3 linked regions of the Ovis aries genome follow. The protein of the gene in region 3 purifies or fractionates together with the protein of the main gene of each other region. This does not show direct contact. Links are inferred from orthologs where the notes say so. Each region holds a gene or a part of one and is shown on either strand. Other genes may lie near its edges.

Region 1 (9,977 bases), on a different chromosome or scaffold from region 3:
CTCTCTAAAATGAGCAGTGAAAAAATAAAAAAGCACTATTTCAAAAATGTTAGCATATTTGGTCAAAATATAAAATATAGCATTTATATGTTAAAAACACAAATATTTAAATGTTGTGTAATTATTTTAATGTGTTCAATATGAAGAACAGCTTCTCTCTTCACAATTGCTACATTTTAATTATCAGTACAATATTTTTCCTATATTTTATAAGTAACTTTTACAGGTTTTGTCCAACCTTTTTTTTTTTTTGCAAAGTATAACCTAGAGCACAGTGATTTATAATTTCTGGTAACACCTATCTTTACATTCTAATTTAGCCTTTTCTCTATTTCACGCTTCTGAAGCTTTTTTGTTTTGTTTTTGCTTTGAGAGGTAGATTTAGTAGAGAACGGGAATGTCCAACACTGCCAAAATGCAATTATCAACAGCTGTACTGTTAATGTGCAGTTTCCAAGAGCGCTAGAAAAATTCAGAACCATTATTGTCATACTTTACCAAAATTCTCCTTCTCAGGCTTAAATTATTAAATAATGTATTTAACTGTTCTCAGATAGACACAAAAAAAGATAAAACAATGAAAGATATATATACAGGCAGGCCAACATAACAACAAAACTATAATAAAAGGTTGCATATGAATGGAAACTTTTGTTTTGCTTTCTAAAAGTGCATCTTCTTTGTTTTTTTGTTCTACACAAAAACACATCAAATATTCCTACTGACAATGCAAGAAAGGGGAGATATGTAAAGCTACCCTTCTTAGCCATTAATTTACCTCCTACCAAGTTAAAGTTGGAACCCTTCCATTGGTGCTTCCTGCTGCTGAAATACAAACTGTTGCTGATTTTCATCCACTTGAGGTACAATACTGGGGTCATCATCTTCTACACCAAAGTAATGTTCAATCAGATCAAAAGCCTTTTGGTAAATTTCCTGATTTTCATGGCTTTGCAGAAATTCAATTTTATCTAGACCTATTATATAAAGCATATATATAAAATCAAAGTTATTACTCAGATTTCAACATATATTTAAATCAAAATAATGAATCAATAGATCACCAGTCCACTGTCAATGGAACTGTTATTTTTAATCTAATTTAAAAAATTAAAACATAATTTTTAAAGGTTGTATTCCATTTACAGTTATTACAAAACATTGGCTATATTCCCTCTGTTGTACAATACATCCTTGAGCCTATCTTACCCAATAATTTGCACTCCACCCCCACTGGTTGCACTGGTAACCACTAGTTTATATGAGTCTACTTCTCTTTTGTTATAGTCACTAGTTTGTAGCATTTTTTAGATTACACATTTCAGTGATTCTGTAGCTTTTATCTGATTTTTGCGTATAATGATAGTCAATACTTATGCTTTATAGTTCACAAATAAAAATATTGGGCAATAAGGTATGAAGAGTAAGCATAGGCTGGGCAGTAGGAAGATCATAGAATCCACCCTTCTAGTTCTATGATTTTTCCCAAATAAGTTTGATTCCTCTGTACTTCAGTTTCTGAATTTTAAAATGACAGTTTTAGATCATGTAAACTCCACAAGTTGTTCCCAGGGTAATCATGTTAAATAAAAAGCACAAAAAGGGAAAGCAACAAAACAACAACAACAAAGCCCTAAAATTAATGAGCAAACTAACAAAAAGTTCTCTCACAGAATAAGCCAAAGTGTATCAATAAGGAATAAATGAATACTATTTGTAAATCCAATACAGTTTATAAGTGAAACTTAACCCATTTTCATAGTGTAAGGAGAATCTACAGTGTTTTATTTTACTGCTCACAAGAAAATAATCCACACGTAAGTCTGGATGATGCTAAAAGTATTTTTCACTTAATTATAGATAAACCTCTTCAATTTGTTGCAGGATATAAATATATCAAGTAATCATATCTATATATACTCATAGAATAGCTTAAACTCTAGTATAACTTGGGGCCAAAATAATGATTGTAGCAGGAAATATTCTTAAATCAGCGATTAATATCTTTCATTTATATGATGTCTTAACCAGTGACATTATGTAATTTGAAATAAAGGCAAAGTGGTCTCCCAGGTGTGGTTGAATGGATATAATAGGATTTAAGACAGAAAGTGAATATTTAATGGAAATATACTGAAAGGAAAAAGAACTGACTTAGATTCATGCCTCATCTGGAAATAAATTCCATGGTCTTGGTTACAGTTGTTTGAATTCTGGATCTGATGCCAAACACAAAGGACAAGAAAGTAAAAATAAACAAGTGGGACCACATTAAACTAAAAAACTTCTGCACAGCAAAGGAAAACATCAGCAATATGAAAAGATAACCTAGGAAATGAGAGAAAGTATTTGTGAATCATATACCTAGTAGGGGGTTAATATCTAAAATATATAAAGAACTCATATAACTCAATACCCCAAAACCAAACTGATTAAAAAATGGGCAGACAATCTGAATGAACATTTTTTCAAGGGAGATACACAGATGCCCAATAGGTATAGGACAAGATGCTCAACATTATTAATCATTAGGGAAATGGAAATGAAAACCACAATAAGATTTCACCTTACACCTGTTAGAATGACCACTGTCAAAAAGATGAGACAGAAAGTGTTGGTAAGGATGTGGGAAAAGGAAACCCTTGTGTACTATTGGTGGGAATGTAAACTGGTGCAATCCCTATGGATAACAATATAGATTATATGGCAGTTCTAGTTTTAACTTTTCACATTTATTTCTTAAAATATAATCCAGCAATTTCACTTCTTGACATTTATCTCAAGAAAATGAAAAAAAAAATGAACTCAAAGATATTATGAACCCCTGTGTTCACTTCAGCATTATTTACAACAGCCCAGACATGGGAGCTATCTTATCTATCAAAGAATGAATTGATAAAGAAACTGTGGTACATATACACACAACACATACACATACAGAGGAACAGTATTCAGTTTTTTTAAAAAAGAAGAAAACCTTGCCATCTGCAACAACCTGGATGGACCTTGGGGGCATTACACTCACTGAAACAAGTCACAGATACAGACAAATACCCTATAATCTCACTTATATGCAGAATCTAAACAAACAAAAACAAAGAGCTCAGAGTAAGTGCATTGATACAGGATACAGACTGGCTGTTGTCAGAGACAGGAGGTGAGGGGTTGAATTAAATGGGTGAAAGGGGCTGTCAAAAGGCACAAACTTCTAGTCTGTATAAGCTTTGGGGAAGTAATATACAGTGATGGGGACCACATTTAATAATACTGTAATATATATATGAAAGCTGCTAAGAGTAAATCTGAAGAGTTCTCACTACAAGAAAAAAAATTTTAACTATGGTGACATGAACTATAATTATTACATTCATTTTGCAGTATACACAAATACTGAATCATTATGTTATATACATGAAACCAATGTGTCACTTGGATCTCAATTAAAACATTGATAGCAATATAAATTTTACTGAATGCTCACCATATGCTTCTTCAATGAGTGCACAGTATGGATTAATGCCTATTCCATTCTGCTTAGATTCTTGTTCCCCAAGCCGTAAAATATTTTCAAGTCCATTTAAAGCCACTTGAACTATTTTAGAGTCCATAACAGTCAACAGATCACAAAGTGGTTTAATGCAGCCTAAGGCTACCAAATACCTTCAGAATAATTAAAAAAAAATGTGGAGGAGAAACATTTTAAAATACTTAAATATTTATAGCAATGATATGAAAACATTCTTCAGTGAAATGTTACATAAACACTTAAGTATTCTTAAAAATACTTAAATTTTTACTTATATAGGAACCTGAAAAATCTTACTCTTATTTTCATAATTTAACATAATTAGCAATTAATGGTTTACAAATATTACAAAAATACATATAAGCAAATTGGTACTTATAGTTGTTTTTGCATAGCATATGAGTGCGAAGTATAGTTGGCTCAAGGTTTGTTTTTGTTATAAAGGTTAGTTAGCCCGTATAACACATGAAGCCATATCGGGGTAGGTAGAAATGAAGACGGAAAAGAGACACCTAAATCAAACTGAAAGAAATTTTCCACAGAAACAATCGTAGTTAATGTTCTAAAATATAGGCTGTGTTTCAGAAGCACAGAAGGCTTCTAGAAGCAAAACAGGCCATGTTGTGAATAATCTTAATAAACAATGATCACAAAAATTGTTCTACTCATTTCCTAATGCTTTTTCCTTTTCTAGTTATTAGATCTTTAAAATAGCTAATTTCTTCACCTGGCAAAAAGTCCATATTAAGCATGCTCTAAAGTCCATGTTAAACATGCTCTGAAGCCAAACTGCATGGTTTCAAGTCCTAATCCCACTCCTCATTAGTTGTGTGCTTTTGTGTAACCTCTCTGTGCCTCAGTTTCCACATCAAAAGTGGAAATAATAATAGTTCTAAACTAGAATGTTGCTGTGAGAATACTGCAAATATTCAGTGGAAGTTAGTTTTCATCCCCACCTCTTTTAAATGTGCATATCTTCACTGGAATACTCACTTGCCATATCCTAACCTGTGACTGATCAAATATAACTGCTGAATGAATAACTATCTCATAGTTATAAAGTTAATGGAAATAAAATACATGAAAGCATCCGATGTACTACTGATGCTCAACAACTGAAATGACTTAGCATAACAACTAGCAGTCAATAAAAATTAGTGATATGAATGCTGAACCTTATCTGAGATCAAGTCTTCTTCCCCTATATGTAGAGTTAAAGAAATGATGAAAATGGCTAGAAAAATAATTATCTCAATTTGGACACCTGAGTCACACTAATACATTTTAAGGAACAGACACAAAGATGAAAATAAATTGAAAAATAAAATATAACTGTTTATAAACTGTTTACAAACTTTGGGCCCCAAAACAGACAAAAATAACATCAGCATCAAAAAAATATACAAGTTAGAACAAATGAAAGATCTTATTTTATTACTATTTGTAATTCATGACACAAATGAAATGAAAATAATACTGATTAAATCAGAGGAGGAATGAAAAATAAAAGGCAGAGACAGATGGTATCAACATATCTGAGAAAAGAAAATAACAGTAGAAATGAAGGCAATAATAGACAATGATCTCCCAAAAAGTAGATTTCAAAATCCTCCTAGTGATTTATAGATTGGCATAGCAGCCTAACTTCTTTTGTATAAATTAAGAATTAAATAAATATGTATTAGAAAATATTTCCTAAATAAGCACTTCAAGAAACCAAAGAAGTATCGAGTTTCAAGAAGTGATCCTCACAACAAGAAGATTCTGTAGAAAGTCAGGCTTTTCTAGAATGGCAAAGTAGAACTTTCCTATGGAGGAAAAAAGAGTGAAAGCAGGGAATTCTCTGGCAGTCAAGTGGTTAGAATTCTGTGTTTCCACTGCAGGGGATATGGATTTGATCCCTGTCCAGGAACTAAGATCCCGCAAACCACACAAAGCAGGAAGAAAAAAAGGTGACAGCAGAAAAGAGAATACCGATAATAAAAATTGATGATGATTACAAATAATAATGATAATAGCTAATCTTAGTAGAGAGCTTAATGTTTAGGCACCATGCTAAAGCACTGTAAGACTGTAAGTGTGCAAATTACATTTAATTGTCAATATACTACCATAACGTACTATCCATTATTCAATCATTTAAAAAATTGAAGACAATCATGGATTAGAGACATGCATGAGATTTTAATGGTCAAAAAAATACTTATTGCCCATAATAGTATAGTTTTCAAATTAACATATACTTCTTTTTCAGATTTTTAATCTCTGATTTTTCATAGTTTGCCTAGGAGAATATCAATTATACTTTGACAAAAATAAACCACTGTGAATGAATAAAAGATATAATAAATGCTATCATTTCACATTAGAAATGCTTATAAAACTTACTTAGAAATAATGTTTTAGTCTTATCAACAAATAAAAAGTATGTATTATTCCAAATTTTGTCCTATTTATATTTAAAAAACAATTAAAAAACTTTTTTCACCTGATCTGTTCTGGAGTGCCTCCTGATGTTGCATTAGTTATAGCCCAAGCTGCTTCTTTCCTAGTGCGAAACTCTGCTTTCTGAAGAATCTCAATTAAAACAGGAAAAATATTTGCATCTATAACAGCCTGAGGAGAAAAAATGATATAGCATAATCAATGCAAATAGTGTCTTATAAATATTATGAAGTAGAAGAATCTTGAAACTTGTTGGCTTTAAAACGTCAGACTTTTTGGAAACACCTTTAGAAATAATTTATTTCTAAATTTTCAACAAACTTTCACATACTTTCCTTTAAAGACTGGAAAATATATTAGCAGAATATAAATTTTAAAGATGATAAAGCACAGGCTGGTCATTGATCAAGATGAAATTAGTATTAATGACTCAAGCAGCTTGATGGGACACTAATAAATCACTATTTAAAAGCACTGAGAGGAAGATTATTGCCTAGTGTGTTAGTTGCTCAGTCATGTCTGATTCTTTGTAACCCCATGGACAGTAGCCCATCAGGCTCCTCTATCCATGGGATTTTCCAGGCAAGAACACTGGAGTGGGTAGCCATTCCAAGAATACTGGAGTGGGTAGCCAATCTTTCCAACCCAGGGATCAAACCTGGGTCTCTTGCAGGCAGATTCTTTACCATCTGACCCACCAGGGAAGTCCAATCATTGCTGATATTGAAACCTAATGAAATTCAAGCTCTTCTTAATGACTGTTACATGTCAGGCACTATACTAGAATACCTACAACAGGTAAATGTTATTATTTTAGAGGAGGAAAATTCAGTTTCTATAAAAAACTTTTCAAGGATCTTTTGAGAAAATGTTTTTAGTAACTCACTAAAAATATCACTGATAAAATGCCGACTTTTGTCCAAAATAACTCCTGAGGTCTCCTTTTTTTTTCAGATATGAAAGCTGTTTACCTGAATCTGAGCTCTGTTTCCAGCAGTGATATTTGAAACAGTCCAGCAGGCTTCTTTTCTGATTGACTCCTTTGAGCTACTCAATAAGTGTAAAAGACAGGGTAAAGCAGAGCAATTCAAAATTACCTAAAACAACAATAACAAAATGAAAAGTTTTATTGGAAAAGAACTACACAAAAATATACTATTTAGAAACACAATAATAATTCTGGAAAATGTATTAAGAAAAAAGAAATTTCTCTCAAAGTAAAACTTAGTTAGGCACTTGCTGTCTTCTACTCTCCCAATTTGCCAAAACTTGGTGTAGTGAAGTGCCCTGTTCTCCATCCACTCATTTGCAAATATGAAGAAAACAGAGGTGTGCCCTTCAAGTTTACAAATACATTCAGAGCTCAACTGACACAACTATTTGAACAGAGATTTAGTGATTGGTCAGGATCCAACCACTTAAGTTTTGCCAAATAAATTAATGGGGAAAATGTATCTATATTTATACCTCAAACAGTTTGAATGTATCCAACTCCGTAACTGTTAAGAAAGTTGTCTATTAAGAAATTGTTAAGAAATGTGTATATTAAGTCTATTTGTTTCATTAAAATTTATACTGTCCTATTTTCCTTTTGTAAGTAAGTACAGTTTGCTTCCCTGGTAGCTCAGCTGGTAAAGAATCTGCCTGCAATGCAGGAGACCCTGGTTCAATTCCTGGGTCAGAAGATCCTTTGGAGAAGGGAAAGACCACCCACTCAAGTATTCTTAGGAGCTTCCCTAGTGGCTCAGACAGCAAAGAATCTGCCTGTAATGCAGGAGACCTGGGTTCGATCCCTGGTTTGGGAAGATCCCCTGGAGGAGGGCATGGCAACCCACTCCAGTATTCTTGCCTGGAGAATCCCATGGACAGAGGAGCCTGGTGGGCTTCAGTCCATGGGGACACAAAGAGTCGGACATGACTGAGGGACTAAGCACAGCATGGTTTGCTTTGTCTCTTTACATTCTTTATTTCACAGCAAGATTAATTATGCTCCATTTTCACAATAACCACAATGATTTACATTAAGTTTACTTGGTGAAGAACATATGAAGCAGTGCACCAAAATTCTGCTGAAAACAGTGTATGTGTGGAAGTGCATTTTATTTTAAAGAGCTCTTTTAAATTAATAATTATCAATTACTAAAGATCTACTGTTTAATAACTAAATATCTAAATATGACTTCAAAAGACTAAAACTTAAAGAATGTAGATTAGAATATATAGTTCATGATAGCAATGGATAATTTAATGTTTCTGAGTTTAAGTTTGTATCTTTAAGAAAGAATATTCCAGATCTGAAATCAGTTTGACATCACACCTTTTTTTAAAGTCTCACCATCATCCAAGACAGGCAAACACACACGTAGACACACACAGACACACAGACATGCAGACACAGACACACAGTTAGTTATCAATGTGGGAAAATGTTTCCTTGCTATCCCTCCTTCAACTCTCATAATCTAGTTTTCAATCTATTACATTGCATTTCCAACCCAACTTTTAACCTGTAAACATCTCCTAAGCAGTTTCTTTTCCAGCCAAGTTTAACACCTCTTAATCGTAACTCACACATGTGTGCCTCTACCTTATGACCACATAAATTTCTTCCAGTCTACTGAAATTCTTCTCCAGCAGTAATTCCAACTCCTTTATGGAATCGACAAAGATTTCTCAGCACACCAATTTAAAAAAATTTATAGTATTTAAGGACAAATCAGTTCTCAGGAAACATACTACCTTAGGTAATTTGCTTTATTTCATTATATATTTTTTCCTCAACTGAAATGTAAACCCCTCAAGAGCCAAAGTCCTATCCTATACTTCTTTACATTGATATAGGTCTACGATAGTGCCTTCATATAGGGGTATTTGAGATGGATTACTTATTACTGAGAATATACTTACTGACATGTAACAGATGCCTGCATAATTATGGTAATACTAACATCTTGATTAACATGATAAACTTCTTAAAAGTTCCTTATGTTACCAATTTATCATATTAAAGTCTGAACTCACCTGTGTTTGAATATCATCACCAGTCACAATATTACCAACTGCTCTTAATGCAGGTGATACAACTTTATAATCATTGTGCCTAAAAGTAATAAAAATATGAACTTATATTCTATATTAAAATTTACAAAAAATTTGCAAAAATAGTACAGAAAACTCCTCCATACTCTACCAGAGATCCTTTTCAAGTTTCACTAATTTTCCCAGTAATATTCCTCTAACAAAGAAATCTAACCCAGAATCATGTGTTGTACCCATGTCTTTCCAGTCTCTTTGAAGTCAAAAGAATTCCTTAGTTTTCCCTGTGACAATCAAAAGCTAATTATTTGGTTTTGTTCAGGGATTAAGATGAAGTTATATGCTTTTGGCTGAGATATCAGAAATGCTATAGTCTTTTCATTACATAGTATTATATGGCATATGGTATCTATTTTGTCCACTATAGTGGCACTGGCCTCTGTCACTTAAATAAGATGGTGTCCATCAGATTTCTTCACTACTGTTTTTCCCCTTATAGTGTTTTGTGAGAAAATAATACTTTTAGACTATGTAAAATACCATTCCTTAATCCACTTTCACCACTAACTTTAGCATATTCTGATATTTATTGTCTGAATTAATAATCATTATTGTTGCCAATGATGAGTTTCTAATACTATCACTTACACTATATATCTTTTTTTTAAATCTATTGATCTATCTACTTATTTAAGTGTGGACTTATGGATTGCTATTTTATTCAAAAAAGTTGTAATGTTACTACAATTTATTTCAATGTTCAAATCATTCCAGGTTTAAACTGTAGAAGTCCCTTCAAGTGGCCTTCTGTGTCCTTTTGATATTTCTCTCCTCTTTGAGCTAGAGAAGGCAATGGCAACCCACTCCAGTACTCTTGCCTGGAAAATCCCATGGATGGAGGAGCCTGGTAGGCTGCAGTCCATGGGGTCGCAAAGAGTTGGACATGACTGAGTGACTTCACCTTCACTTT
Region 2 (9,977 bases), on a different chromosome or scaffold from region 3:
CAGAAGAAATGGAACTTGTGGGATAAAACTTTGCATTCAATGCTGACCATACACCCTCACATACATATACTACTTCAGAGGTTCTGAACTAGAACTTATGGTTCTGAACTCTGCTTATGGCAGACATTAGTTTGGGGAGAGGGCACATACCATAGGCTTCCTCGATGAGGCCACAGTAGGGATTGACCCCTGAGCCACTGCGCTTGCCCTCTTGCTCTCCAAGCCGAAGGATGTTCTCCAGTCCATTGAGGGCCACTTGCACAATCTTTGAATCCATCACAGTCAGCAAGTCGCACAGGGGTTTGATGCAGCCCAGGGAGACCAGGTACCTGAAGGGCAGAGACCAGGAAAGTTCTAAATCAAGACAAGATAAGGGAGGTGCCAGGGCGGTGCTCTGGGGTCCCTGGGTCTCCTTTACACACATCAATGCTCTTAGCAATTCACCCTGCCTGAGCCCTCATAAACACCCAGGCTTTATCTCAGTCTCCACTCCATCGATACTACTGGTTTAGTTCATTTCCATGTAGAAGGCTGCCACGGATTTCTCCTCCTGGTCTGTAATGTGTCCCTGCAACAGTACTACCTACTCTGAAACATCATTCCCCTGCTTAAAATTTTCACAGTCCAAGCTCTACTCTCAATACAATCAGGCTCCTAAGCTTTTTCAGCTTCATCTCACATTATTCCCTTCCAAGAATATTACATTCCAGCCAAACGTGAATGTCTCTAGGTTTCTGATTTTTGTACTTTTACTTATGCCTTTTCCTGTCCAAATGCCATTCACAACCCTATATCCTCAAAAGCTTAACTCAGTGGCTATCCTTTTCTCCTAAGGTTTTATAATATGCTGAATATACTCCCTGGAAGAAAAGTTATGACCAACCTAGACAGCATATTGAAAAGCAGAGACATTACTTTGCTGACTAAGGTCCGTCTAGTCAAGGCTATGGTTTTCCAGTGGTCATGTATGGATGTGGGAGTTGGAGTGTGAAGAAAGCTGAGTGCTGAAGAATTGATGCTTTTGAACTGTGGTGTTGGAGAAGACTCTTGAGAGTCCCTTGGACTGCAAGGAGATCCAACCAGTCCATTCTAAAAGAGATCAGCCCTGGGTGTTCTTTTGGAAGGAATGATGCTGAAGCTGAAACTCCAGTACTTTGGCCACCTCATGCAAAGAGTTGACTCACTGGAAAAGACTCTGATGCTGGGAGGGATTGGGAGCAGGAGGAAAAGGGGACGACCGAGGATGGCATCACCGACTTGATGGATGTAAGTTTGAGTGAACTCCGGGAGTTGGTGATGGACAGGGAGGCCTGGCGTGCTGCAATTCATGAGGTCGCAAAGAGTCGGACACGACTGAGCGACTGAACTGAATATACTCCCCCTTCCTAAGCTACAAGCTGAAGGCAAGGTACTTTTCTAATTCCCACCACTCCAACTCAAGTTCATAATGGAAAGCAGAATCAGAGAACATCTTCACACAAAACAGCTTTCCTATTTACTTCTCTCAAGTATCATTGTCAAAAATGATTTCTCAAGGAAACTGCTCCGAATGAGCCATCGAATGGTTCTCTTTCATTTGTATGAGTAATTGTGAATTATATAGATTTAAATTCTCTTGTGGGTAGAAAGAGGCAGAGGAGAGATGAATGTCTGTCTTAAGTGTCCATTCTCAAGGAGGGAAAAGAGGCTACACTCTAGCAGCTTATCAGTTAAACCCTACTGAACAGCAGTAGACTTATCCCAGCAAAGGCAGTTTAGAGACTGTATGTAACATAAGCTGACAGGTAGAGTAAACATGTCACTCAAACAATGGGAAGGACTGTGGTACCTGATTTGTTCAGGGGTTCCTCCTGATGTGGCATTGGTGATGGCCCAGGCTGCTTCTTTCCTTGTACGGAACTCTGCTTTCTGAAGGATTTCGATCAATACAGGGAAGATGTTTGCATCTATGACAGCCTGAGAATAATTAGGGGTTCGGGGGTGGGATATGGGGGAAAAAAGTCATTTCAAGGAGAATAAGCAAATCCAGAACACAAATCAGCTAAGATTTAGACACATTCCCCTTCCTCAAAGTTCTCCTTTGTCGTTCCCATATACCTAAGGTGGTGCAGAAGAACCTGGCTTCTGCTCCACAGAGTCTTTGACCAATAGCAGACACTGATCCCAATTTCAAAAGAGAAATTTTTTTGTCTAGAAGGCAATATCCCACAAAGTCTCGTGATCCCAGGCCTTTCTACCACCGTTCCTCAATCTCCCAACTGCTTGTTTTACCTGTATCTGAGCCCTGTTGCCAGCAGTGATATTTGAAATGGTCCAACAAGCTTCCTTTCGGATTGACTCCTTGGAGCTGCTCAGGAGGTGGAGGAGGCAAGGGAGGGCTGAACAGTTAAGAATGACCTAGAACACCAAAAGACAAATTGAGATAAATTGGACTTAATCAAAATTTAAAACTTTTGTGTACCGAAAGACATCTTTCAACAGAGTGAATTACACAAGTCACAGAATGGGAGAAAGTATATTGAAATTATATATCTGATAAAGATGAATATCCAGATTACATTAAAAAAAAAAAAGCTGAACATAGTTTAAAATGGGCAAAGGACATAAACAGACATTTTTCCAAAGAAAACAGGCAGGGGGCCCCAAAGCACATGAAAGATGTCAGACATCATTAATCAGTAGGGAAATGCAAATCAAAACCTCAGTGAGATACAGCTTCACACTTCATAGGACAGTTATTCTGTTTTCCTGGCCGTGCTGGGTCTTCACTGCAGCATGCAGGCTTAGTTGCCCCACAGCATGTGGGATCTTAGTTCCCCAAATAGGGACTGAACCCGAGTCGCCTGCATTAGAAGGCGGGTTCTTAACCCCCAGATCCCAGGGGATTATATATATATATAATATATAAAATTTATTATAATACTTATAACATTTAAAATTTATTATAAAAATAAAATTATTTTTATTCTTAAAAAATCCAGGCAATACAATTGTTGGTAAAGATGTGGAGAAACTGGAACCTGGTACATTGCTGGTGGGAAGGTAAAATGGTATAGCCATTGTGCTAAACAGTATGGTGGTTCCCCAAAATCTTTAAATATAAAATTACTCCATGACCCAGTAATTCCACCTCTGGGTGTATATCCCAAAGAGCTGAAAACAAGGACTCAAACAGAGATTTGTATGCCAATATTCAATGCAACATTACTCACACTAGCCAAAAGGTGAAAGCAACCCAAATGTTGATCAACAGATGCATGAATAAACCAAATGTGGCACAGGTGTGCCAAGGAAGATCATTGAGCCACCGAAAGGAATGAAGGTATGACTTACTAAAACATGGGATGAGCTTCGAAAACATGCTAAGTGAACTAAGTTGAAACAAAAGAACAAATATATATGGTTTGGTTTACGTGAGGTTTCTAGAGGAGTCAAACTCGCAAGAAACAGAAAGTAATGTGGTAGTTACCAGGGGATGAGGGGAGGGGGAAACGGGAATTTATTATTTGAAGAGCACAGAGTTTCAGTTCTGAACGACGCAAAAGTTGTGGAGATGGATGATTGTGATGGTTAAATAACAATGTGAATGCGCTTAATGCCATTGAACTATACTTAAAAGAATAACCAGCTCTCCAGCCTGTGTATAGAAAAACCTTGCATACTGCACCCTCTATGGAGGTATTACTAACAGAGGACTAACATGAGGTTACCCATGGGATCCTAAAGGTTTAGTTACAAAGTAGGGGTGAGGCTCCAAAGATTTAAGTATTTCAAAGGTACCATAACAGAAAAGCTGGGACTTTACCATGTCCCAGGTAGTAAGTCAAGTTATTCCATTTAGTTTTTCTTCAGTAGCACCCAATGGATAATGATTTGCTTCCAATTTATAGAAAAAATAAAGGCAACCAAGTTGCCCACAAATCATACAGAAAGTGGCAGAGTTGGAATTTTTCCTTCAAGCCTGTGCTTTCTCTCCTAGATCACACTGCCCCCCACCAGGACTAAAGTCTACGGCAGGGAGGGATTTGTCCACAGACAGCTCTCTTCCTCCTCCTTACCTGGGTCTGGATGTCATCCCCAGTGACGATGTTACCCACAGCTCTCAGAGCAGGAGAAGCCACTTTGTTATCGTTGTGCCTATAGAGGAGGGCGATCTGGTCAGTAGAGGGCCAGCACCAAGCTTTCAGCTCTGCTGACCACCAAGGCCGGTAGCACTCATGGGTCCAGACCTTTGCACAGGGCAGCAGACTGCTAACTGCAGTTCTGAGCTTGGAATCTGTACCCTTTCTAACTGGGATCACTCACATGAGAAGCTCGACCAATCTCCGGCAGACTCCAGAGTCTATGACTGCCTGGATCTTCTCATTGGGGCCATCAGATAGATAAGAGAGGGCCCAGCAAGCATCTGCCAGCAAGTCTGAGTCGCTGCTGAAGAGTAGGCGAGACAGCACGGGCAAACAGGGGGAGACCTATTGGAAGCAGAGAGAGAGGGATTCATAGAGGGACAGGGTTACATCAGCTCTACCACTAACCCTAACATGTCCGAGCCCTCCTCTACTGAGTAAGTCTAAGACCCAGAGATTTCTACTACATTAAGCCATCAGGCCCACATTTTCATTTACCACCCTGGCACACGAGATCACCTACTTCACTGAAGATTGCCTCTTTCAGTTTCCCGTGGATCAAGACTCTGAGGGTTCCCCAAAGACTTGAAAACTCCCATGTCAAAATTCCTCCATATGAAGGAACCTGCTATTACTCAGGAACTGGTAAGAAGCTCTCTTACCTTTGCAAACTCTGGGGGTGGGTTCTTCCCTCGGCAGAGGTTTGACAGGGCCCAGACCGCATTCCGGGTCATTGTCAGTCGTGTGGACTTGGTAAGGAGTCTGAAGGAGACAGAGAAGCCAGATGCTGACCAATGATGCCCTTTGCATAGAGCTGTTGTCTGTGAGCCCCAGGAGCACATCCAACCAGACCCCTACGACTCTAGCCCCCTCACTGTCTTTTCCTACCCATAATTTAAGTGAGTTAGTTTGGTCCAGGGGGCTAACCTACATCTTCATAGGGGATTAGGACCAGATGTGGTTGTTAAGCCCACAGCTAATAAGAGCAGAGAGCTGGACCTTGAATAAGCATGCTAAATGAAGTTTTAGTGTGGGGGCTTTAGCTATGCAGTACGGATGGATTCTCTGTGACAGGCCCATAAAAGAGTTCTAATAGTAGCTTACGAGGTGTGGCTTCTGAAGAAAAACTCCTCCCTCTGCATCCATACGACCCTGCATGGGGTCTTAGATCTGTGGTTTACAACAGAGCTCTCCAATGTACCTATGCATAAACCCATAGAAAATCAATGCATTTTGCAGAGAAGGTTAGGTTTTTCCAGATGGGCTATTCCTCCTTCTCTCCTCTGGCTCAGCAATGAGCCCAGTATGACCAACAGGAGACTCTACAGTGCTGTGAAGCGAGAAGCATAAGACACACACCAGCGGCACAATCTTCTTACTCTCAGAAGATAGCCTTTTACTCTGTCAATCAGAATGCACTTGTAGCATTTTTGGATTTACTCATCATTTTAAGGTAAACTGTCCCCCAAAGATCTGCTACATGGCTGCCCTACAGATGCTTGCGGTGCAGATGCCAGTAGTTACTCACGTTAACAAAGGATTGAGGATGGAACAGTTCAAGACGTAATCTCGGCAAACGGAGCTGTCTCCAGCTATGTTTCCCAGTGCCCAGACTGCCTAAAAAAGGGAGGATGGAACTGTCACCCACAGAGCCTAGTGGCTTCTGTGAGTACTTTACACTCACAACTACAGAGTGACACACAGCAGTAACCAGGACGAACATCCCATCAAGGCCTGAAACACACCAAATAAGCTCAGTACCCTCCTTGTTGACATCCTCATTGAGTACTTGCTCTATGAGGACTTTTCCTCTGAGAATTCCTGGGTTTGGGGGGGAAAGCAGGCTGCCGCTGTACTGTAGCCAGAGAAACCAAACCAAAACCTCCTTATCCGCACCTCCTCATCTCCCATAAAAGGAGAAAATGATGGGAAACTTGTATTCTTCTTGTCTCATAGGACCAACCCTATATGTATTAATAGAGGAAAAATCCCCAGTACCACTCCACTTCTAGTCAACCAGTAAAACTCCAGCGCAAGAATTGGAAGTAGGGTTTTTATGATCCATAGATGTTGAAAAATGGGTACTGTGGTGTCTTTTTCCCAACACCACCTGACACCCAACATGTAGAGTTTTCTTCTACATCAATTCTCTGATACCATGTCAGTGAAAAGTGAAAGTCGCTCAGTTGTGTCCGACTCTTTGTGACCACATGGACTATACAGTCCATGGAATTCTCTTAGGCCAGAATATTGGAGTGGGTAGCCGTTCCCTTCTCCAGGGGAGTCTTCCCAACCCAGTAATTGAACTGGGGTCTCTTGCACCACTGGCAGATTCTTTACCAGCTGAGCTACCAGGAAACCCATGTCAGTTCAATAGGTAGGGGGCTCAGTCCCACAAGACTGGCCTCACTTAGATACTAGTTACAACTCCCAGGTGCCACCTATACTTTTTACCAACTGGCTATAAATTCAGGAGTTCCACATTCTGCAACGACTCACAGAACTCAGGAAAACTTGACTCATGTTTAGCAGTTTACTCTAATGGATACAACTGAGGAAGAGCTAGAGATGCAGAGGGCAAGGCATGGGGCAAAGCATAGGGGCTGCACAGAACTCCTGTGCCCTCTCCAGGCATGTCACCTTCCCAGCACAGTGAGCATTCACCAACCCAGACGCTCTCTGAATCTCACTGTTCAAGATTTTTATAACCCAATATTTACCCCCTGTAACATCCCTAGGGAGGTTGGGGAGCAGGGGTGGGAAGAGTGGGCAGGGGCGGGGCTGAAAGTTCCTATTCTCTAATCCCAAATTTGGTCTTTCTGATCACTAGCCCCCCTTCCGAAAGCTATCTAGGGCCCCACCCTGAGTCATCGCATTAGCACACACTCAGGTGTGTTGCAAAGGTGCTCTTTAGGGATAAGAGAAGTCGCTTGGATCACTAAGAAAATCCCAAGGTTCTTAGGAGCTCTTTGCTCTTAACCTCTTAACTGGGGATAAAGACAAAATACATTTTTTACTATACCGCTGACATCATTAAGAATTAAGTCAAATTTGGGTATTACCTGTTCCTGTACATCCTCAAAGTCCGAGTTAAGCAGCTCTATAAAAATGGGGACGGCCCCTGCTTCAATGACAATTTTGGTCTGCTGAGAGGTTCCAGAGGCGATGTTTGTTAGAGCCCAGGCAGCTTCAAACTGAAAGTGAGATTAAAGCCATGACTGAGAGGTCATTCCGGACAGAGCAGCCGTGCCTACCACCTGGCTCAGAGCAGTTACGTCTCCTGCCCCTGACTTGAAAAACAACAACAACAAAAAAAAAACACAACACCACACATGCCTTTCCCTTTTCTCCTTTAAAAGAAAGGAAGAATTACTGGCAGTGACATAACATAATAGGAAGACAGAACTAGGCTTCCATGGTTCCAGGTCTAGGCCTGCACTACCACAGCCCCCATGAGTTCCTGGGCAAGCCGCGTTTTTTGTTGGTTTGTTTTTCCTAGAGGCAGAGAGGAAGACAGGTTGAAAGAGTTAGGAGAAGGAGAAAGAATGAAAGAAGAGGAGTGAAACCTGGGGGCAACACCAAATCTTTACTATTCCCCCACCACCTCAGTGGGTTGTTGTGGCAGAGTCGCTAAGTCATGTCCAACTCTTTTGCGACCCAATAGACTGAAGCCTGCCAGGATCCTCTGTCCATGGGATTTCCCAGGCAATAATACTGGAGTGGGTTGCAGCAAGCCATGTTTTTATTTCCTGCACTTCACTTTATTCGTTTCTGAAACCAGGATATAAGTGAGACGGGTCTCTCAAGGATCCTTTCAGCCAAATTTCTAATAAGTTCTCGTAGAGTGGCTCATCACTCATTTGTGAGAAGAGAGGCCCAGAGAAGCAAAGTGGTTCACTCCAGAATTACAAATGGACTAGAGCGTTTTATATACGTATATGTATACATACATACATATGTATATATATTTATTCTATATCACAACCTCTGAATAATGAATCTGTCATATTCTGGTATCTTTCCTTTGAGACTGTTTTGGGGAAGAGTTTGTGGCTCTCTTACTTGAGACCAAGTCCTCTGAGGTAACAGCATCTCCTTAAATGTTTCCTCCTCACAGATGTGTCTGCAGAAGCATGCCTTAGCAATTTCTTGGCAAAAGAGCATTCATCTGGTACCTCTCCACCCTGGGCCTCACCTGTAATGTACAATTCTCATTCCTCTTCAGAAACTCCACAAACCGATCCACCACTCCTGGAGTGTTGATAACTTCATCTATTGGAGGACTGGGCTCTGGGAGAGGGACAAAGGAAAGAGAGAAGTCAGGAGAAGGGCTGGCTGATGCATTCACTGGGGTCAGTCCACCATCCTTCCTAAATACTCCTGACCATCCTTAGAAACACTCCCAAGCTTCCTTCTGGTGAGGTGGTTTTAACAATAGCAGGTCATTTTTGAACTGCATCAAATAGCTGAGAATCTAAAAAGTAAAGCCAATCCTAATCCAAGTATGCTCACCTTTGGCTTTCTAAATCTAAGCAAGTAAATAACCTTACCTACCTAAGCAAGCAAGAAAGTAAGGGAGAGATGACCAAAGAAGGTGCAATGCTGGTCTAAACACTTCCCTTCTAAGATCAGCATTCTTTTCTTGGGAGGAAGAAAAGTCCTCCCAAGGTCAAAGGACAAAAGTCCTTGGGAGAAAAGAAAATATTTTTCCCATCATACAGCAAATTTTTACTGAGCAAAAAACGCGTGCCAGACGTAGTTCTGGGTACCAAGAATATAACAGTGAACCAAACCAAAAGTCTCTGTCCTCATGGAGCTTATATCCTAGTGAGAAGAAATACTGTTATGTTTGAAGGTAATAACTGTAATAGGAAATAAAATACGTAGGGCCAGGTAAGGAGATTAAAAATGCTGCAGGGGGTGGGGGGAGCAGCAATTTTAGTTAGGGTGTCAGGGTAGGTTTTGCTGAGAAAGGTAGGATCTAACCACAGAAATGAAGCAGCTATCACACAGATTGTTGTTCTTTAGTTGCTGAGTAGTGTCTGACTCTTTTGCAACCCCATGGAATGTAGCCTGCCAGGCTCCTCTGTCCATGAGATTTTCCAGGCAAGAATAATACTAGAGTGGGTTGCTATTTCCTTCTCCAGGGCATCTTCCCAACCCAGCAATCGAACCCACTTCTCCTACATTGGCAGATGGACTCTTTACCACTGAGCCACCAGGGAAGCCCTGTCACACAGATATCTGCAACTAAAGGGTATCAAGCAGAGGGAATGGCCATGCAAAGGTAGGAATGTGCCTGGCTTGTCCAAGGATGCCACAGCCAGCAGGGCTAGAGCAGAATGAATGAAGGGCAGTAACTGATGAGGTCAGTGAGAGGAAACAAAAGGCTAAGTCATGCAGGCCTCTCTGGGGAAGTCTAGGCTTTGTACCTTTGGAGAGCAGTTTCCGGAATTTCTGTGTGGTTGCTAACTGCAGGTCAGGATCATCAGAAAAGAGCATCTCCACCATCTCTCTTGTGATCACACTCTCCTAGGACATAAAACAGGTTCATGATTTTGCAAACCAACACTAGAGCCAGATATAAGCCCATAATCCTGTTTGGCATCCTGCTTTCTAAAGACTTGAGGGCAGGGCTTCCCTGGTGGTCCAGTGGTTGAGAATCTGCCTGTCAGTGCAGGAGACATGGGTTCAGTCCCTGGTCTGGGAAGATCCCACATGCAGAGGAGTAATTAAGCCCATATGTACAACTACTGAGCTTGTGCTCCTAGAGCCCATACTCTGTAACAAGAGAAGCTACTGCAATGAGAGGCTCTTGTACCCCAACCAGAGAGTAGCTGTCACTAGAGAAAA
Region 3 (9,977 bases):
TTGGTATAACAGGTAAGGAAGAGTAGGACCACAAGATACAGGCTTAGTCTGGGATTATTTTTATTTATTTTCTGTAGAAACAGGTTCATTTTATGTACTTTTTACAAGATGGTCTCTTTTGACATGCTTTTCTTTTTTTTTTTTTTGTGATGAATTGGCAGGCAGAACTGCATTCTGGCTGATGAGATGGGATTGGGCAAAACCATTCAGTCCATTGCCTTCTTGCAGGAAGTATATAATGTGGGCATCCATGGCCCTTTCCTAGTCATTGCCCCACTGTCCACAATTACTAACTGGGAGCGGGAATTCAACACATGGACAGAGATGAACACTATTGTGTACCATGGCAGCCTGGCCAGCCGGCAGATGATACAGCAATATGAAATGTACTGCAAAGACTCACGGGTGAGTTTCCTATAATGCAAATACTATGGCTTAGAGAGTAGGTCAAAGTACCTGGTATTTTAGAAGCTTTTATATGAGTCAAAGACTTTTATTGAGACTCTCTGTGATGTAAGGTATTGTTGTCTACTTTATGCAGGACACTTTTCCAACTTTGCTATTTTGATCCAGTGAACATTTTGATCCAGTGGAAATTCTGACTTTATTTATGAATATATACGTTTTAAATAGTTTTACCAGGATTGATTAGTTTTCATCAAAAAATAATTTTCCAGAATGAAATTCATTTAGCTACTTTTAATTCCTTGATTCATAAAATGGTGAACATAAGACATTTCTTCCTTTTTTTTTTTAAGTCTACTGAAGTTTTCATCAAGATTATTTCTTTTTTCTGTATAAGTTTGGAAAGGGTTTCTTAACATTGAATTTTGAGTTTTTTTCCTACCATTAGTTTCCCATTTTTATTTCTACGAAACCCAAGTTTATTCAAGTCATTTTGTGGCTCTTAATTTTGTTAAGATAATTGGATTCTTTTGTCCATTTTTAGGTAGTAACCAATATTACCACATACTACATTAGCTGTTTCACTTTTAGTTTTATCTTGTGTGTTTCAGCAGTGCTCAACATTTGTGGATTTTAGTGTTTACCAACAGAAGATATAGGGCTGAAATACATGAGGTAGGCATGCAGCAAAGTCAAGAATGTCCAGCTTCTTTCAGTAAGGTCTGTGATTTTCCCAAGAAGCTGAGTGTGTTGAGGAGGCAGTGATTCAGTGATTTGACACTGTTTATCAGGAATATGAACAGTGGCAGAGGTGGGTGGTGGTGCAATTTGTGTTTTCTATGAGGCCTGCCTAAATATAATATGCAGAATATGTAGTCCAGAAGAGCTTCTTATTTAAGTACATTTTAGGCCTTTTCTGACTTTGTTGCCTTCATGCTTAGGGGCGCCTCATCCCAGGTGCATACAAGTTTGATGCCTTGATCACCACTTTTGAGATGATTTTGTCAGACTGTCCTGAGCTTCGTGAGATTGAATGGCGGTGTGTCATCATTGATGAGGCCCATCGACTAAAGAACCGTAATTGCAAACTGCTTGATAGTCTCAAGCACATGGACCTGGTGAGTTCCTCCCACTGACTTGTGGCCAGAAACACCTAGAATTAAGTAATCTTAATTCCATATGAATTAATTTTATAGAGAAGAATCAGAATCTTGGTATTGAGTGGGGGTGTGGCCTGTGGGAATGGTAGCCTGAAAGTCATAAAATTCATATAAATTTTAGAGTTAGAAGATGATTGTGGGTTAGTGGTTCTCAACTGGGTGAAGAGGTGAGATGTTAAATTAGTTACCTATTTCTGCATAGCAAAATATCCAAAAACCTAGTGACTTAAAACAACTGTGTTTTTCATGACTCTCTAGCTTAGCAACTTGGGCTGGGCTGAGTGATCTCATTCTTTCAGTGGCCTTGCCAGGAGTCAGTGATACAGCTGCAGCTGACAGTTGGTACTGGTTGTTGGCTAGGCCATCTTCCATGTGGTCTGTCACCCCTCTGTGGGCCAGACTTTGCTTCTGTACCTGGTAGAGTCAGAGCAGTGTTCCAAGAGGGTAAAGGTGGAAGGCAAGGCCTTTGAGGCTCTGAAACGCACATGGTACCCACTTCTGCTACATTCTCATTGTCAGAGCAAGTTATAAAGCACGACCATGTTCAAGTGGTGAATCTTGATAGGAGGAACTACCAAAAATCAATGGCCATATTTAATCCTACACAGGTACATTTCTTAGAGGGAGACATATTAATGGATATCTGTGGGGACTTGAGTGTGGAGAGGCATATTTAATTGGAAAAAACATGTTCTAAATATTTCTTTATTGCCTTATGATATTAAATTAATATGTTAAATAATATCAAGAATATTCTTGAGTATTTTGTGTTTATCAAAAGAGGCAGCAAGTAAGAGTAATCTGGTCCATTTCCATAATTTTACAGTTAAAGAAATGGAAACTAAAGTTATATACTTGATGGAAAACTTCAGAAGTCTTTCTGAGTTTTATCTTTCTTCTGTGTTCTCCATTTCTAGGAGCACAAAGTGCTGCTCACTGGAACACCATTGCAAAATACTGTGGAGGAACTGTTTAGCTTGCTTCATTTCTTGGAACCGTCACAGTTTCCATCAGAATCAGAATTCCTCAAAGACTTTGGGGATCTCAAAACAGAAGAACAGGTAGGAAGTTGTCTGATGTGATACTAATGCAGAATAAAAAAATTTGTACTAGGGAAGATATCTACTGTCATTGATATCCATGTTTCCATCTAATGTGAGAAGGTTTGTCCTCATGTTATTATTTTTTCCTCTGTTGGTTACAGGTTCAAAAGCTACAGGCCATTCTCAAACCAATGATGCTGAGAAGACTCAAAGAAGATGTTGAAAAGAACCTGGCACCCAAACAGGAGACCATTATTGAAGTAGAGCTAACCAACATTCAGAAAAAATACTACCGGGCTATTTTGGAGAAAAACTTCTCCTTTCTTTCCAAAGGGGCAGGTCATACTAACATGCCGAATCTACTCAACACAATGATGGAGTTGCGGAAATGCTGCAACCACCCATATCTCATCAATGGTGAGAGAACTCCTGAAACACCTACATTTCTGTGTTACCTTGATTACTAAATGGTGTTCCTCAGAAACAATACATGGATTGGCTGATCCATCCTAGTTTGGAAATAGAGGGAATTTTCTCTTTTTAAAACCATTCTCACGTGGAACATCTTCCTCTAGTTCTTTCTGACCCTTTGACTCTGCATAATCTCCAAAGTTAAAAAGGATTTGCTGTTAAGAATTCTGTTCTGTCTCCACTGATATTCTGTGTTGCTGTTTCTGTTTTGGATGGCAGTATGGTGGTAATAGTGGTTTTCATGTAATATTCTAGTCCTTTTCCACATATTTACATATTTTACTCTGACTTACGTGGAATAATTCTTAAGCCTGACTTATATGGAATATTTTGTATTAACAAAATTGAGGATATTTTAGGGTTTGGGAGTTGCTGAAATTCTGTTTTCAAGTCATATTGATATCAAGTCAGGTTATTTTCTTTTCTTTGCTTCCTTATCTCAGTTAAATAAACTGCAGCCTTAGTGGTTTCTCTGGATCTCAACATTAGGTCTGATTTTCTTTTGGCAGGTGCAGAAGAAAAAATCCTAACAGAGTTTCGAGAAGCTTGCCATATCATACCTCATGACTTCCACTTGCAGGCCATGGTTCGTTCAGCTGGCAAATTGGTTCTTATTGACAAGCTACTTCCAAAACTTAAAGCTGGTGGCCATAAGGTTCTGATCTTCTCCCAGATGGTACGCTGCCTAGATATCCTAGAGGATTATCTAATCCAGAGAAGGTGAGAAAAAAGTCATTCCTCGCCTGTTTACTTTGTACTTATAGAGCTGCAAAGAGTGGGAGGCCTGGGTTTAAATAAAGTTGACCAGGACTGGGCTAAGAGAAGTATTCAAGACTCTCACTCTCAACTTTCTGATAAAACTTTTGGTGAACTAGCAATACAAGGGTACTGGTATGATCCCAGCCTGCTTTTTTCTTCTCTTTTTCTGCTCAGCTGATTAAACTTTTTTCCTGTGATTCCCTTGCAGGTACTTATATGAGCGTATTGATGGGCGAGTTAGAGGCAACCTTCGGCAAGCTGCTATTGACCGTTTTAGCAAGCCTGACTCGGACCGATTTGTCTTCCTGCTATGCACCCGGGCTGGTGGACTTGGCATTAATCTCACAGCTGCTGATACTTGCATCATCTTTGATTCGGACTGGAATCCGCAAAATGACCTGCAGGTAGAGGAAATCATTGTCTTAGGGACTAATCACCTAACCTGAGAGGTTTTGCAACAGGATCAGGTTCTCTTAGAAAGTCTTAGCTTTTCAAGAATCTGGAATTGTTTAGTTAGTTAGGTCATCAAACTTTTTCTGTATAGGGCAGATAGTTAATATTTTAGGCTGTGCAAATCAGTCTCTGTTGTAACGGTTCTCCTTTACTCTTGTACTACAAAAAACATCTATAAGCAAATATAAATGAATGGGTAGAGCTGTGTTTCAGCAGAAACTTTAGAAATAGGTGACCAAGATTTGCTGACACCTGGTCTGGATGATGAGGCAGTAATTTCATCTTGAAATTGACTTTCTGATGTTGAGTTGATCTCATGGCTGCTTTATAAATGTAAATCAGTATTTTGAATGCTTGTCCTCCCCACTCCTTCTAATGTTGTTATTTTTGCCCTTCCTTCCATTTGTTAAAACCAGGCCCAAGCACGTTGTCATCGAATTGGGCAGAGCAAAGCTGTGAAGGTGTACCGTCTCATCACTCGTAATTCTTACGAGAGGGAGATGTTTGATAAGGCTAGCCTCAAGTTGGGATTGGATAAAGCTGTGCTTCAGTCCATGAGTGGTCGGGATGGCAACATTACTGGAGTGAGTCTTCTTAATTTTTAGCTATATTTGTAGTAGGTCATGGTGATGAAGGGAGGCAAAAGCTATTTTTTGTATAGGAACCTGACCCCTTGTTTGGATTCTCAATGATTATTCCTTAAAATATAATAAAATATCATGATGTGGTTAGATAATATTCTCTGATTTTTTTTCACCTTTCTGTTGGATTTTGTAGATCCAACAGTTCTCTAAGAAGGAGATTGAAGATCTCTTAAGGAAAGGAGCGTATGCAGCCATAATGGAGGAAGATGATGAGGGCTCCAAGTTTTGTGAAGAGGACATTGACCAGATCTTGTTAAGACGAACCACTACCATCACCATTGAATCTGAAGGAAAGGGTTCTACCTTTGCCAAGGTATGTTCTGTTGGTGCTAGAGGCTTTTAGCACAGAGAGACAGGAATCTCTAGAATTTAATATTTTTTAAAAAATATAGTTTTTTTTTAATATAGTTTTAAAATATACTGATTTCTCTTTACTCAAAAAAGTGGTGTAGTCAACTTTAGTATTTCTTTGTTCCTCATTAGGCAAGCTTTGTGGCTTCTGAAAATAGGACTGATATTTCTCTGGATGACCCAAACTTTTGGCAAAAGTGGGCCAAAAAGGCTGACCTGGACATGGATCTACTCAATAGCAAGGTGAGCTTCCTTTTCCTTCAAAGAAAAACTATGGCAGGAAACACATTACTTTCTGGAGTCCTTGCTCTGATTCTTCAGTGCTGACCTTGGCTTATGATGGTATATCACAGGCCATTGTAAAAGCTTTCTATATAGAGGGCCACTAAAAAGTACTTAGATAACTATCACTTAAGTTTGCTTCCTGAATCCCTGTAGATTATCTTACATGTCCAAAAAAGAATCTATCTTTGAGTATCTACAGATATTACATGCAAGGCTATTTCAGTCTGGTTATCTTTAATTCCTTTCCCACAATTATATTGTGAAAAGAGTTACTTCTCCTTCTGTTCTCTGCATAGAATAACTTGGTGATTGACACACCTAGAGTACGAAAACAGACCCGCCACTTCAGCACTCTGAAAGATGATGACCTAGTGGAATTCTCTGATTTGGAAAGTGAAGACGATGAGCGACCACGCTCTCGCCGACATGACCGTCATCATACCTATGGGCGCACTGACTGTTTTCGGGTGGAAAAGCATCTCCTGGTATATGGGTAAGACCCCATCTTTCCTCAGAGGTAGTACATTCCTTCCTGATAGACATCTCGTTCGCTTTTTAAATTGGAAGGTATGATCAAAGAGGGGATAATGGGAAAAAATTTATTCTGTTACCATGTTTTCCCAAGATCATTTTGTCTCCCACCATTTGGGACGTGTGAATTTGAGGGACTGGGGTCCCTAGGAAAATATCCATATGATTGCATTTTTTTGTAGTTGGGGACGATGGCGAGATATTCTGTCTCATGGACGTTTCAAGCGACGGATGACTGAAAGAGATGTGGAAACAATTTGCCGGGCCATCCTCGTGTACTGTCTCTTACACTATCGTGGGGATGAAAATATCAAAGGCTTCATTTGGGACTTGATTAGCCCTGCTGAAAATGGCAAGACAAAAGAATTGCAGAATCATTCAGGTGATTATCAAGTCTTTGCTTTTTGTCTTTCTATAGGTTACCTAATCCTTTTCAGGTCCAAGGGTTTTTCTCAATCCAAGTCTTCGATGTATCCCCTTCCCCAGGTCTGTCTATCCCTGTGCCTCGTGGACGCAAGGGGAAAAAAGTAAAGTCACAAAGCACTTTTGATATCCATAAGGCAGATTGGATCCGGAAATATAACCCTGATACTCTGTTTCAAGATGAGAGTTATAAGAAGCACTTAAAACATCAGTGTAACAAGTAAGGATGGAATTTAGCAGACTAAAGGATTTTCCACCTCACGCTTTCTGCACTATTACTGAGCCAGTTCTTCCTCTCTCCCTTCTAGGGTGCTGTTGCGGGTACGAATGCTATATTATCTGAGACAGGAGGTTATTGGAGACCAGGCAGAGAAGGTGTTAGGGGGTGCAATTGCCAGGTAAAGTTATGCTTTATTTTTCCTTATGCTGTGCCTTATTCCAGAATAGATTGGTTTACTTATTTCACTGTTAACTATCTTGGGATACGTGGTAATTAAAATCTGTATATCAGGTCTTCAGTGCTATGCAGTTGGCCTTTTGTATCCTTGGGTTTTGCATCCTTTTGATCCACAGTTGATCAAATCCATAAGGGCCAGCTGAATTTACTGTATGATTCCATCTTATTTTAGGGGCTTGAACATCAGTGGATTTTGGTGTCTGGGGTGGAACGAATCCCTTACAGATACCAGGGGACAGCTGTTCTTGATACCAGTGGAAGGAAATAGGCAGATGTAGGACTATTTAAATTAATAGAGAAAGGAAGATACTTGTAATAATCTTTCCAAAGATTGTTTGCTTTTATTTCCTGCATCACTGTGCTGACTCTGCCTCTTACACCTTCAGTGAGATTGACATATGGTTCCCAGTAGTGGATCAGCTGGAGGTTCCAACAACATGGTGGGACAGTGAGGCTGATAAGTCCCTGCTCATTGGAGTCTTTAAGCATGGTAGGTGTCTGCTCTTAGTCTGCTCTTTTCCTGTTATAGAGTTTTGTCCACAGATGAAATGTTTTGCAAAGTACTTAAGACCAATAATTACGTTTGAATGGTAAACTGGTTCTCAGAAATACAGAGCAGAGCTGTTCCTATGAATAGATGGTCAGGAAAGACCAGATGGATAGTTAAATCGCAAGGTAGGGTGTCTTCCATCTGTTCTGTGATTAATCAGTTACTACCAGTCTGTATGCAGTGGTATCTAAGTTAAGGTTTGCAATCGGGGGAGATGATGCATGTCTACTCTTGTTAATAATAAACATGTTTACTTTGCATAGCTTTCCTGTGCCTTGCTGAAAATGTTCTGTTTCTATAGCATCTTGTTTGTCTAAATATTCAGCATTCACTCTTACGTAGGTGTGAATAGCCATGCTTGAGTGAAAGAAAAATTAAAAAAAAAAATTTTTTTTTAGGTCAGTAGAAAAAACTGGCTTAAAGTAGAGTAGAAAAAGGGAGAAGACTCCCTTTTCAATCTTCCCTAATCACAAATTCCACACATAAAAAGCAGTAAGTGCTAACTTCTAGCCTAGTGACTTAATGAATCGGAAGATTATTTCTTTTTTAATATACTTTTCTGTTTACTTCTATAAAATAAAAGTAATGGCACTTAATTCACATTTTTGACAAGTTTAATTGGATGAGAAAAAATGTGAGCATTTGTAGTGTTAGATTTACTTGTGAGGTGCAGAGGCTTTAGAAGAGTCCAAATATCCTGAAATACGTTCATCATTCATCCACCATTCAGAGTACCTGTTTGCAGGTACAAATTTCTTATCCTTTATTTGAAAGTGTATTACCTAGCTCTAAATTATTGGACTTTCAAAATTTCCTCACCTATGTAGTAAGAATGATGATAAAAAATTACCCGTTTTAAAAAAAAAATTACCCGTTAAATGGCTATGTAAATCTGTCACCATTCTCTGTACACACTGATTAAATTCCTATTTTTGGTAACTAGTGATAAAACTCTTTATGACTCTGAATTGGAGTGGAAATATTAAATATCTTAATATAACCCAACAGCTGTCCAAATTAACATTTTCAGAGTACTTTACACTATGAGCAGAGTAGCCCACATTTTTATTCCAGCAGCATATGAAGTAAGCGTAAAAGCAAAATGAGTCTGATTTTCTTTAATTATGGCTCTTTCTCTTCAAGGCTATGAAAAATATAATACTATGAGGGCAGACCCAGCCTTATGCTTCCTGGAAAAGGCTGGCCGACCAGATGACAAAGCCATCGCAGCAGAGCATCGCGTGTTAGATAATTTTTCTGACATAGTGGAAGGGTAAGCATTGATGTTTAGTTCTGTTAAAGCTGTATCTGCATTACAAAGGATATTTGTTGCTTGTGCTAAGAGATGACATAACTCTAGCCTTGACTGAATCCGTTGGGATTCCTAATGGTGGTTATACTCACAAATGATAAATTCTTAACAAACAGTGCGACCAGCAGAAAGGTCTCCATAAATTGGCCTGAAACCATACATTGTCATACAGCGCAACTAAGGGGGAAAATTACTCCCAAATGGCTTATTTGATCTTCTCTTCAGTTTTCTGTGCAGTGCTTTTAGCTACAGTAGCGGAGAGGGTAACTGCTTCTCTTGAAAGATGGTAGCCATGCAACAGTCTCCTACCACCAGTGTGATAGACCCTCAGGAAACTTTAGCCTTGGTCTATCATTTTCCAGTGTCCGCTGACACATAAAGGTGTTTACTTTGCCTGAGTCCATGCCTCAGTGATGAGTTGCCATGCTAATACTGAGCCATCAGCTAGGGCAGTATTGCCCTGGTTTGGGTGCCAGTGAGTTTAACAAAACTTCTCATGTGGAGATCTGAGGGGCATGTGAAATATTTGACTTAGTTCATGAATACCTTCCTAGTCCCTTATTATTGAAAGATTTTTCTTCAGTGATCACAGCCTCAGTTTGCCTAGTGTAGGACCCACAGAGGAAATTAGATTTATTTATTGCAAATCATGTAATATCCTTTTGCTCAGTAGAGTAAAGTAGTAAAAATAAGCAGGCATAGATCATTCATTCCAATGAAATAATAAAAGTAGATACTAGTTGGGACAGAGGGGGAAAATGGGTTAAATAATAAAAAGCTATTAAGAAAAAGGAAATGTGCTGTTTCATTTTAAAATCAAGCAGTTTAGAACTCAATTTTGTCATTTTCTCATACCTCTGGATAATTTTAGGGTTGACTTTGATAAAGATTGTGAAGATCCAGAATACAAACCACTCCAGGGACCCCCAAAGGACCAAGATGATGAGGTGAGGAATTTTCATTTGAGTCTAGCTTTTCTGTATTACTAAACAGTATTTTCCAATTCCCTGAATCATGAAGTATACTGATTAATTTATAATAAAAAATGAAAAGTACCATTCAAGAATATAAAGTATTAATGGAAAGGATTGTAACACCAGCTAGGGGAGGTCAGGGATGATTTTTTGGAGGAG

The links.
Region 1: the proteins of CHD8 (region 3) and KPNA5 purify together in Homo sapiens (affinity purification with mass spectrometry; 3 studies listed by BioGRID and IntAct, with this or other methods). This does not show direct contact. The link is inferred for Ovis aries from reciprocal best matches to the Homo sapiens genes CHD8 and KPNA5.
Region 2: the proteins of CHD8 (region 3) and KPNA6 purify together in Homo sapiens (affinity purification with mass spectrometry; 4 studies listed by BioGRID and IntAct, with this or other methods). This does not show direct contact. The link is inferred for Ovis aries from reciprocal best matches to the Homo sapiens genes CHD8 and KPNA6.

The regions. Positions count from the first base shown.
Region 1 is NC_056061.1:21,102,819-21,112,795, forward strand, and holds part of KPNA5 (importin subunit alpha-6), read right to left. Parts: intron 9,072-9,977; coding exon 8,993-9,071; intron 7,069-8,992; coding exon 6,943-7,068; intron 6,143-6,942; coding exon 6,015-6,142; intron 3,661-6,014; coding exon 3,482-3,660; intron 978-3,481; coding exon 790-977; 3' UTR 1-789. UniProt on the Homo sapiens protein: Functions in nuclear protein import as an adapter protein for nuclear receptor KPNB1. Binds specifically and directly to substrates containing either a simple or bipartite NLS motif.
Region 2 is NC_056055.1:235,357,191-235,367,167, forward strand, and holds part of KPNA6 (importin subunit alpha-7), read right to left. Parts: intron 9,657-9,977; coding exon 9,557-9,656; intron 8,415-9,556; coding exon 8,320-8,414; intron 7,319-8,319; coding exon 7,187-7,318; intron 5,742-7,186; coding exon 5,653-5,741; intron 4,887-5,652; coding exon 4,787-4,886; intron 4,470-4,786; coding exon 4,306-4,469; intron 4,138-4,305; coding exon 4,059-4,137; intron 2,398-4,058; coding exon 2,272-2,397; intron 1,957-2,271; coding exon 1,829-1,956; intron 330-1,828; coding exon 151-329; intron 1-150. UniProt on the Homo sapiens protein: Functions in nuclear protein import as an adapter protein for nuclear receptor KPNB1. Binds specifically and directly to substrates containing either a simple or bipartite NLS motif.
Region 3 is NC_056060.1:24,094,422-24,104,398, forward strand, and holds part of CHD8 (chromodomain-helicase-DNA-binding protein 8), read left to right. Parts: coding exon 1-12; intron 13-161; coding exon 162-405; intron 406-1,346; coding exon 1,347-1,523; intron 1,524-2,482; coding exon 2,483-2,626; intron 2,627-2,769; coding exon 2,770-3,025; intron 3,026-3,588; coding exon 3,589-3,799; intron 3,800-4,046; coding exon 4,047-4,242; intron 4,243-4,707; coding exon 4,708-4,875; intron 4,876-5,068; coding exon 5,069-5,248; intron 5,249-5,418; coding exon 5,419-5,529; intron 5,530-5,867; coding exon 5,868-6,064; intron 6,065-6,284; coding exon 6,285-6,484; intron 6,485-6,564; coding exon 6,565-6,745; intron 6,746-6,833; coding exon 6,834-6,923; intron 6,924-7,368; coding exon 7,369-7,472; intron 7,473-8,675; coding exon 8,676-8,805; intron 8,806-9,249; exon of another isoform or gene 9,250-9,359; intron 9,360-9,715; coding exon 9,716-9,791; intron 9,792-9,977. UniProt on the Homo sapiens protein: ATP-dependent chromatin-remodeling factor, it slides nucleosomes along DNA; nucleosome sliding requires ATP. Acts as a transcription repressor by remodeling chromatin structure and recruiting histone H1 to target genes.